Macaca fascicularis: one gene and its partners. The protein of the gene in region 3 purifies or fractionates together with the protein of the main gene of each other region. This does not show direct contact. Links are inferred from orthologs where the notes say so. Each region holds a gene or a part of one and is shown on either strand. Other genes may lie near its edges. The genes, in order: ASF1B, CBX1 and CHAF1A.

The links.
Region 1: the proteins of CHAF1A (region 3) and ASF1B purify together in Homo sapiens (co-immunoprecipitation; 7 studies listed by BioGRID and IntAct, counting the BioPlex papers as one, with this or other methods). This does not show direct contact. The link is inferred for Macaca fascicularis from reciprocal best matches to the Homo sapiens genes CHAF1A and ASF1B.
Region 2: the proteins of CHAF1A (region 3) and CBX1 purify together in Homo sapiens (affinity purification with mass spectrometry; 4 studies listed by BioGRID and IntAct, with this or other methods). This does not show direct contact. The link is inferred for Macaca fascicularis from reciprocal best matches to the Homo sapiens genes CHAF1A and CBX1.

What each region holds. Positions count from the first base shown.
Region 1 is NC_088393.1:14,543,183-14,546,503, forward strand, and holds part of ASF1B (histone chaperone ASF1B), read right to left. Parts: intron 2,285-3,321; coding exon 2,169-2,284; intron 1-2,168. UniProt on the Homo sapiens protein: Histone chaperone that facilitates histone deposition and histone exchange and removal during nucleosome assembly and disassembly. Cooperates with chromatin assembly factor 1 (CAF-1) to promote replication-dependent chromatin assembly.
Region 2 is NC_088390.1:58,660,146-58,663,720, reverse strand, and holds the end of CBX1 (chromobox protein homolog 1), read right to left. Parts: intron 2,055-3,575; coding exon 1,910-2,054; 3' UTR 536-1,909; downstream 1-535. UniProt on the Homo sapiens protein: Component of heterochromatin. Recognizes and binds histone H3 tails methylated at 'Lys-9', leading to epigenetic repression. Interaction with lamin B receptor (LBR) can contribute to the association of the heterochromatin with the inner nuclear membrane.
Region 3 is NC_088393.1:5,174,222-5,177,871, forward strand, and holds part of CHAF1A (chromatin assembly factor 1 subunit A), read left to right. Parts: coding exon 1-172; intron 173-1,072; coding exon 1,073-1,536; intron 1,537-3,001; exon of another isoform or gene 3,002-3,151; intron 3,152-3,650. UniProt on the Homo sapiens protein: Acts as a component of the histone chaperone complex chromatin assembly factor 1 (CAF-1), which assembles histone octamers onto DNA during replication and repair.

The DNA of each region.
Region 1 (3,321 bases), about 9.4 Mb from region 3:
CCAAAGTGTTGGGATTACAGGCATGAGCCACCGCCCCCAGCCTTTTTTTTTTTTTTTTTTTTTTTTTTGTTACGGAGTCTTGCTCTCTCTCTCCCAGTCTGGAGTGCAGTGGCATGATCTTGGCTCACTGCAAGCTCTGCCTCCAGGGTTTACGCCATTCTCCTGCCTCAGCCTCCCAAGTAGCTGGGACTACAGGCGCCCGCCACCACACCCAGCTAATTATTTTGTATTTTTTAGTACAGACGGTGTTTCACCGTGTTAGCCAGGATGGTCTCCATCTCCTGACTTCATGATCCGCCCGCCTCGGCCTCCCCAAGTGCTGGGATTACAGGCGTGAGCCACCGTGCCCAGCCTACACCCAGCTAATTGTTTTTATTTTTTCTAGAGATGGGGGTCTTGCTATGTGGCCAGGCTGGTCTGGAACTCCTGGCCTTAAGCAATCCTCCTGCCTCTGCCTCCCAAAGTGCTGGAAGCCACCACACCCAGCCAGAATCTACATTTGACAACTCAGGCAGGGTGCTGCATGAGAGCCACTTAGGAGTTACGGTCTATCCTCATTCATTATTCATGGGGTCCATATGTGCAAGTTCACCTACCTGCTACATTTATTTGTAACCCCAAGATGAATACCTGCGGTGCTTCCACGGTCACTTGCAGACATGCACAGAACAGGGAAAAGCTAGAGTTACCTACCACGCCTGTTCCTACCTGAGGTCAAACAAGGCAACGCTCTGTCTTTTGGTCTCAGTTCTTACTGTGAATGAGCATCCTTTCCTCAGCCTACTTAGTGCTACCTTTTTTCCATGTTTTGTGCTTTTTGTTGGTGAGTTTGCTGTCTATGATGGCACCCAAAGGTAGTGCTGAAGTGCAGTGTAGGGTGCAAAAAAGGCCTTATGGAAAAAATGTGTATTAGAGAAGCTTCATTCAGGAGAGTTACAGTGCTGTTGGCTGTGAATTCAACATAAATGAACCACAGTATATATTAAATAAGGTGTCTTTTTTTTCTTTTTTTTTGAGATAAGTCTCTCGCTATATCACACAGGCTGGAGTGTACCGGTGTGATCTCAGCTCACTGCAATCTCCACCTCCCGGGTTCAAGCGATTCTCCCACCACACCTGGCTAATTTCTGTATTTTTAGTATAGATACGGTTTCACCATGTTGGCCAGGCTGGTCTCGAACCCCTGACCTCAGGCGATCCACCCACCTCAGCCTCTCAAAGTGCTGGGATTATAGGTGTGTGCCACCATACCCGGCCTGGTGTCTTTCAACAGCAACACACATACAAGTTTACGTATTGACTGGCTGACGAAAACGTGACTTCCAACAATCTAAGCTTGTATTTACCCTGGGGCAATGGTTCAGTACTCACTAAATCAGTGTTCGCGGCAACTTTATAGAACATAACTCTTGTGAATAACGAGAATTGACTGTAAATCAGTGGCAGCTTTGACACAGAGGTGGGGGAAGGGAGGGCCTGAGAGCCTCTGAGAGGTCAGATAGTTCCTGACAGTAGAACTAGGATTTGAACCTGAACTTTAAAATTTTTTTTTAATTGATTGATTGACACAGGGTCTCAACTCTTTTCTTTTTTTTTTTTTTTGAGACAGAGTCTCACTGTATTACCCAGGCTGGAGTGCAACGGTGTGGTCTTGGCTCACTGTAGCTTCCACCTCCCAGGTTCAAGTGATCCTCCCATTTCAGCCTCCCAAGTGGCTGAGACTACAGGCGTACACCACTATGCTCTGCTGATTTTTAAGTTTTTTGTAGAGCTGGGGTCTCACTATATTGCCCAGGCTGGTCTCAAACTCCTGGCCTCAAGCAGTCCTGCCACCTTGGCCTCCCAAAGTGCTGGGATTACAGGTGTGAGCCACTGTACCCGGCCTCTGTTTTTTTAATACTTGTTTTTTCCTTTTTTTAGAGACAGGGTCTCACTGTGTTGTCTAGGCTGGAGTGCAGTGGCTCAATCATAGTTCACTGCAGGCTCGGACTCCTGGGCTCAAGCAATCCTCTCACCTCAGCCCCTGGAGTAGCTGGGTCTATAGGCGTGAGCCTCTGTGCCCAGCTGAACTTGAACTTTTGATTCCTGAAGCACTCTGTGGGATTTCAGGTAAAAGAAGATGTTTCTAGGAGTCAAGAGCTAAAGGCCTAAGGCCTCATCTTTCTTACCTGAAAGACAAACATGTGTCTCCCTGCTGGTACAGGGCCCACCAGCACCGAGTCTAGGATCTGATCAAACTCCTCACTCTCAGCGGAGCCAACATAAATGATCTTCCACTCCAGGTCTGCAAAGACATAGGAGGGTTAATGAATTGAAATAGCTCAACAGCAACAAGGCAGGGAAAGGCTCTTGTATTCATTTTTCTTTTTTTTTTCTTTTTTTTTTTTTTTGAGACGGAGTCTCGCTCTGTCACCCAGGCTGGAGTGCAGTGGCCGGATCTCAGCTCACTGCAAGCTCCGCCTCCCGGGTTCACGACATTCTCCTGCCTCAGCCTCCAGAGTAGCTGGGACTACAGGCGCCTGCCACCTCGCCCGGCTAAGTTTTTGTATTTTTAGTAGAGACGGGGTTTCACTGTGTTAGCCAGGATGGTCTCGATCTCCTGACCTCGTGATCCGCCCGTCTCGGCCTCCCAAAGTGCTGGGATTACAGGCTTGAGCCACCGCGCTCGGCCTCATTTTTCTTTTTTGAGATGGAGTCTCATTCTGTCATCCAGGCTAGAGTACAGTGATGCGATCTCGACTCACTGCAACCTCCGCCTCCCAGATTCAAGTGATTCTTGTACCTCGGCCTCCCGAGTGGCTGGGATTATAGGTGCCTACTGCCACACCTAGCTAATTTTTTTTTTCTTTTTTGAGATGGAATTTCACTCGTCACCCAGGCTGCAGTGCAATGGTGTGATCTCGGCTCACTACAATCTCTGCCTCCCAGGTTCAAGTGATTCTCCTGTCTCAGCCTCCCGAGTAGCTGTGATTATAGGCGCCTGCCACCATGCCTGGCTAATTTTTGTATTTTTAGTGAGAGGGTTTCACCATGTTGGTCAGGCTGGTTTAGAACTCCTGACCTCAGGTGATCCACCCGCCTTGGCCTCCCAAAATGCTGGGATGACAAGTGTGAGCCACTGTACCCGGCTTTTTTTTGTATTTTTAGTAGAGATGGGGTTTCACCATGTTGGCCAAGCTGGTATCCAACTCCTGACTTCAAGTGATCTGCCTGCCTCAGCCTTCCAAAGTGGTGGGATTACAGGTGTGAGCCACTGCGCCCAGCCACATCTTGTATTTTATTTTTACTATTTTTCAAGGCAGTCTCCCTCTGTTGCCCAGG
Region 2 (3,575 bases), on a different chromosome or scaffold from region 3:
GAACCCAGGAGACAGAGGTTGTGGTGAGCCAAGATCACACCACTGTACTCCAGCCTGGGTGACAGTGCAAGACCCTGTCTCACAAAGGAAAAAAAAAATCATAGGCAAAAAATGACATTTTAAGTCAGTGCTCAAACACGGGGCCAATTCCTGGAAAATTTTGGAGAAGTAGATTTTAGGTCATATAATCTATTACATACCAGAGGCAGGATCTAAACCTAACTTAAAAACCCATGTTTCCAAATGTACCATAGTTTGGAAGTGCTGTCAGGTCAGAGTGCTCAATAAACTTTTGGCAATACTGAAGACAGCATGATGCGACCATCTTTACAATCTCTGCAGCACCTGATAAATGCCTATTAAGTATTTACTAAATTAATATGGTGCGACCACTTAAAGATTCAGGCCAGACACTAGATTTTCAAGCCTACAGTGTTCAAGAAATAAAACCATCCAAGTGAGGAAGCCATTTCCAACAGGCTGAACCTATAAGGCAAGAAGAGTTCCTGGTAAGACTTAAGACAGAAATCAGGGATTATAAATCTATAGTTTTATTAAGACAAAAACTGACAGTGTAGTATGAAGTTTACATTTAAACAAAGTTTACACAGAAATCTAACACATGCCTAAAAGGATTTTACAATGTAGCTCTAGATGCAAGTCTAGACAATATCAAAAACTGATGGATCTCATGACTCAAGACAGAGCATTTTGGGTATCAGTTACTTCTTAGGATTTCTTAAAAAATTGTGTGTGTGTGTGTGTTTTAAAGTGAACCACTGCCCAATATGGAAGTTTAATCTTCTCCTGAGACCAAGGCTTTTGAAATCACTAAACTCTTAGATCAATTCAGTGAAACTTGTGCTGTCAGTGACTGAAGCCAACAATGGTTTCAGAGTTCAAAGCTCAAAAAAGAGAACAGCTCCAAGAGGTTTCCCCACTAAGAGCACGGGCCCTTGTCTTTCCCTACTGTCTTATCTCCTCTACCACCCTCTTCCTCTTCCCTAACACCTCAGCCAGTGGCTTGGATGAACAAGCTGATATTTATAACTTCGTTACTGGAAAAGAAAGGGTCTTCTAATTTTATTAGCACCTCTGAGACAGAATGATCTGCTTGTACTGTATACTCTCCAATAAAAGACTTTCCTCCCTCCTCATCAATTTCCATCTCCAAAATGGCAACTTTGGTAACTTATGAACTGGCTTAGTCCTTTGTGGGAACAGCAATAAGTTTAGGCAGGGAACACCTTGGCTTATAGGTTTCAGACATTCACAGCTTTTAAACAGTCTCTCACAGTCCTTATTTATGGTGCCAATGACTTTTTTTTTTTTTTTTTTTAAGGTAAAATATTCTGGACATAGAAGCAAATCATTAGTTGTCTGTTCTTTTCCATTGCTTCACCATTTCCCCTATCAGGCCCCAAATGTTAATCAAAGTGATGCTACCCATCTCCCTTTCTCCCCTCCCCATCCCTCCCCCAAATAATACACCAGTAATAGCCAAAGACTACACACATGCTACGCTGTAAAAATGCAGAGTTAACACTATTGGGAAGAAGGCTGTGGGTTGTGGAGATGCTCTTTGAAGATCTACAGTATTTTTTTGCTCTCCCACACACCCAATTCTGCAAGTTTTGTCCTTCATAGAAGGCCCTTTGCTTTTCTCAGCAAAGTGCAGAAAAGATTGCCTTGAAACACTTATCCCCTTTCCCCTCCACTGGGATGGGTGTGCAAACTATACAGCTTGAAACGGCTTTAAAGCACTTGGGCTGCTGCAGGGCACAGAAACTATACTGGCTCTTCAAAGGACATCTTCTCAAGCCACCTCTATGGTGTCAAGACAAGTAGAACTCCTTCCCTTCCCACTTGAAACCCAGTCAGATGTGACAGGGGCTGGTACTCAGGAGCGTTAATTCTTGTCATCTTTTTTGTCATCATCCTCCGAGGGGTAGGAATGCCACGTCAGCCTTTCCTCATAGAAGGATATGACAACCTGTGGGCACTTGACATTGGCTTCCTTGGCAGGGACCAGGTCAGCCTCATCAGAGTTTTTCCTGCAGAATAAAGCAAAGAGAGACTTTGAGACCAGGTGCTGGTGGTCTATCCTAAGCACTAACCCAGGGGATAGTGCTTTAAAAATAGTAATTTTATAAAATTGGCTAGGGAACAACGAAAATGTGGCCCAAGCAGCATTTACTGGCAATTTTATGTTAAGTGACATCCTCAGAGTGACATCCTCTCCTGTTGAAAATTCCCTCTTGGGATTCGTGTATGTCAAAAGTAAGGTCAATGGACTTAACCGATCACATCTGAACATCTGGGCAAGGCCCCCAAAAGCATGACTCTCTAGATTCTCTGAAGGAAGAGAGGCTATCTAGATTCTCTGAAGGAAGAGAGGCTATCTAGATTCTCTGAAGGAAGAGAGGCTATCTAGATTCTCTGAGGGAAGAGAAGATACCACACTCCTCCAAAAGCCATATCCCAGCTGGTAAGAACCCACGGAGAAATCCTGGCTTTGTCATAGGACTTTTTTTTTTTTTTTTTTTTTTTTGAGATGGAGTCTCACTCTGTTGCCCAGGCTGGAGTACAGTGGCGTGATCTCGGCTCACCACAACCTCCGCCTCCTGGGTTCAAGCGATTTTCCTGCCTCAGCCTCCCCTAGTAGCTAGGATTGTAGGTGCACACCACCATGCCCGGCTAATTTTTATATTTTTAGTAGAGATGGGGTTTTGCCATCTTTACGAAAGATATTGGCCAGGCTCATCTTGAACTCCTGACCTCAGGTGATCCACCTGCCTCAGCCTCCCAAAGTGGGATTACAGGCATGAGCCACCACGCCCGGCCTGTAATAGGATTAAATACCACATCTGGCATTGGCCAGAGCAAATGAAGGTGGACACATTTTTGCATAATCGTAATTACACTGACACTTCCAAATGCTATCCTCACACAACTTCCAGGTGCTTTGAAATGATGTTTCAACATTGGGAGGTAGGAAATGAGGGAGCTGTATTTTTCTAAATTTTAAAATGTTTTCAAAATTTGAAAATCACACACATTATAAGGGAATTAGGAGTAAACTCTGAGGCCGGGAGCAGTAGCTCATGCCTATAATCCCAGCACTTTGGGAGGCCAAGGTGGGCAGGCCCAGGAGTTCGAGACCAGCCTGGTCAACATGGCAAAACCCCGTTGCTACTAAAAATACAAAAATTAGCCAGGCATGGTGGCGTGTGCCTGTAATTCCAGCTACTCGGGAGGCTGAGGCACAAGAATAGCTTGAACCTGGGAGGTGGAGGTTGTAGTGAACATAGATCACCCCACTGCACTCCAGCCTGGGTGACACAGCGAGACTCTGTCTCATTTAAAAAAAAAAACAAAAAAAACCCCAAAAACTATTGTCTTCAGGTTACTAGGCATGTCCTAGACAGAAGCAGTAGCATAAGGCAAGTAGGAGACACCTGATGAGATCTCTGACAAAGCACCACCCCAAATCTCCAAAACCTCAACAACAGGAAACCAGAGCCACACAGTCCCATGGAGCAGAAGAGTAAGCTGATAACCTATGTTTTTGAACA
Region 3 (3,650 bases):
CTGCAGCCCGTCAAGATTGGCTGCGTGTGGGCAGCTGACAGAGACTGCGCAGGCGACGACCTGAAGGTACTGCAGCAGTTCGCAGCCTGCTTCCTGGAGACCGTGCCTGTCCAGGAGGAGCAGACGCCCAAGGCCTCCAAGGCCTCCAAGCGGGAGAACAGAGACCAGCAGAGTGAGTGTGGGTGGGGCTTCAGGCAGGGCCTCCCCTTCTCAGGGGCGTGGCCAGGCCACCCACCTGTTCCTGGGCCCAGCTAATTTCAAGGCTGAGGGCAAGAGTCTCACAGGCTAGTGGGTCCATGATGCAAATGTTCTTTCCACAAATAACAGAGGCCAGCCCTCTTCCCGCACACATCCGTACATTCGATGATGTCCCCAGCGGCAGGACGAGGCAGGTCCAGGCTTGTTTTATCAACCAGGACTCAGGCGCAGAGTGTGCTGGAGTGGGGGCTACGCTTTCTCAAAAGCCAGGGAGGGGCCGGGCACAGTGGCTCAAGACTGTGATTCCAGCACTTTGGGAGGCCAAGGTGGGAGGATCGCTTGAGCCTAGTGCTTCGACACCAGCCTGGGCAACATGGCAAAACTTCATCTTTGCAGAAAATACAAAATTACCTGGGCATGGTCTCATGCACCTGTGATCCCAGCTGCTCATGAGGCTGAGGTGGGAGGATTGCTTGAGCCTAGGAGTTCCAGACTACAGTGAGCCATGATACTGCCACTGCACTCCAGCCTGGGTGACAGAGCGAGACCCCATCTTAAAAAAAAAAAAAAAAAAAAAACTCAAAAAACTGGGGAGGGACTATGGCACACAAGGAGAGCAGGGCTGCCATTTGGGTAGGAACAGCAGGCATTTGAAGTCAGCCCTGGCAACGCATGTGCCCAGCCAAGGCTCACTTCTGGGCAGGTGCGTGGGTGCTGCCCTGTCTTACGACCGCCCTCATGAGGCCACCTATCCCTGAAGCTGGCCATGCCCGGAGCCTCAGTGGCGAGGAGGAGCTGTGTGTGTTTTGGTTTTTGGCCTGTGGTGATAGGTGGCTCCCCAAACCTCATGCCCGTCCATGTTCCCTCCCGCCAGTCCTGGCCCAGCTGCTGCCGCTCCTGCATGGCAACGTGAACGGGAGCAAGGTCATCATCCGGGAGTTCCAGGAGCACTGCCGCCGGGGACTGCTCAGCAAGCACACCGGCAGCCCCCCAAGCCCCTCTGCTACCTGCCTGCACACCACCAGCGAGGACGCTGCCATCCCCTCTAAGTCCCGGCTCAAGCGGCTCATTTCCGAGAACTCAGTGTACGAGAAGCGGCCCGACTTCAGGATGTGCTGGTACGTGCACCCGCAGGTGCTACAGAGCTTCCAGCAGGAGCACCTGCCCGTGCCATGCCAGTGGAGCTACGTGACCTCAGTGCCCTCGGCCCCCAGAGAGGACAGTGGCAGCGTCCCCTCCACGGGACCCAGCCAGGGCACTCCCATCTCACTGAAGAGGAAGTCAGCGGGCAGCATGTGCATCACCCAATTCATGAAGAAGCGCAGGCACGACGGCCAGGTGAGGCGGGGCGGGCAGTGGGTGCCCCTGGGGGCGGTTTTCTTTGTTTGTTTTTTGTTGTTTTGTTTTATTTTTGAAATGTAGTCTTGCTCTGTGTCACCCAGGCTGGAGTGCAGTGGTGCGATCTCGGCTCACTGCAACCTCTACCTCCCGGGTTCAAGCGATTCTCCTGCCTCAGCCTCCTGAGTAGCTGGGATTACAGGTGTGCACCACCACACCTGGCTAATTTTTGTATTTTTAGTAGAGACAGGGTTTCACCATGTTGATCAGGCTGGTCTCAAACTCCTGACTTCGTGATCCACCTGCCTTGGCCTCCCAAAGTGCTGGGATTACAGGCGTGAGCCACCTCGCCCGGCGCTTTTGTGTTTTTTTAAAACTACTTTTTTTTTTTTTTTGAGACGGAGTCTCGCTCTGTCACCCAGACTGGAGTGCAGTGGCCAGATCTTGGCTCACTGCAAGCTCCGCCTCCCGGGTTTACGCCATTCTCCTGCCTCAGCCTCCCGAGTAGCTGGGACAACAGGCGCCTGCCACCTCTCCTGGCCAGTTTTTTTGTATTTTTTAGAGATGGGGTTTCACCGTGTTAGCCAGGATGGTCTCGATCTCCTGACCTCGTGATCCGCCCATCTCGGCCTCCCAAAGTGCTGGGATTACAGGCTTGAGCCACTGTGCCCAGCCTAAAACTACTCTTAGAGCAGTTTTAGGGTCACAGCAAAATGGATTGGAAGGTACAGAAAGTTCCCATACACCTCCTTCCCCAAAGCCAAGCCAAGCCACGCGTTACCAACATCACCTTCCAGAGCAGTGGACTGGTTACAGTCATTGCACTCAGGCCGGGCACTGTGGCTTAAGCCTGTTATCCCAGCACTTTGGGAGGCCGAGGTGGGAGGATCACTTGAGCCTGGGAGTTGGAGACCAGCCTGGGCAACATGACAAAACTCCATCTCTATAAGAAAAAATTTTAAAATTAGCCAAGCAGTGGCGGTGGCATGCATCTGTAGTCTCAGCTACTCAGGAGACTAAGGCGGGAGGATTGCTGGAGGCTAGGAGATTGAGGCTGCAGTGAGCTATGATCATGCCACTGCACTGCAACCTGGGCGACCGCGAGACCCTGTCTCTAAAAATAAATACATAAAATCACCACCACCCAGAGTCTACGGTCTCTGTTAGGGTTGGTTCCTGGTGTAGAGGGTTCTGTGATTTGAATGGATGTTGGATGCTGTGCGTCCACCTTTATTGTTCTGAACAAAGAGGCCTCTCCCTGCCGAAAGGCCCCTGTGCTCTGTCCGTCCAGTCCCCTGGAAATCGCCAACCTCTCTGTCTCCGTGGACCGGCCTTTTCCAGATTGCCCCGTAGCTGGAATCGCACCGCGTGTGGCTCCTTTCACTTGGCAGTATGCATTGACAGTTCCCCCATGTCTGTTCGTGGCTTGATAGCTCATTTTTTTTTCACACCGAATAATATCCCATGTGGTAGCATTTTTATTTTTGTTCAACGGTTCTTGAATTTTGCATTCAAGCACAGTTATTAAGCACTTACTGTGTGCCAGGCACTCTGATCGGTCTTTCAGACACAGGGATATGCACAACGCCGCCCAGTGTAAGCCACAGACAGGAGCCTGTAAGGGGAATGAATGGCTGTGTGATTCCAGCCTCATGGGTGCCTCAGAGGCACAAGTGCATGGAGCCATGGGGTGTGTGGTGGGGGCACTGCCTGATCTTAGGAAAAAACTCCCATGCCCATAGAGCCAGTGGCCCCTGGCACCCACCCCTGGCCATAGATCAGCTTTAGTAACATTCATTGCATACTTTTTGTCCTTATCACACTGTTCGTAACTGAGTTTCTCTCTTTTTTTTTTTTTTTGTTTTGTTTTGTTTTGTTGTGTTTTTTGAGTCGGGAGTCTTACTCTGTTGCCTAGGCTGTAGTGCAGTGGTAAGATCACCACTCACTGCAGCCTTGACCTCCCCAGTCTCAGGCGATTCTCCCGCCTCAGCCTCCTGTGTAGCTGAGAGGGACTACAGGTGCATGCCACCACACCCAGCTAATTTTTTGTAGAGACAGGGTTTCACCATGTTGCCCAGGCTGGTCTCCAACTCCTGGGCTTAAGCAATCCCCTT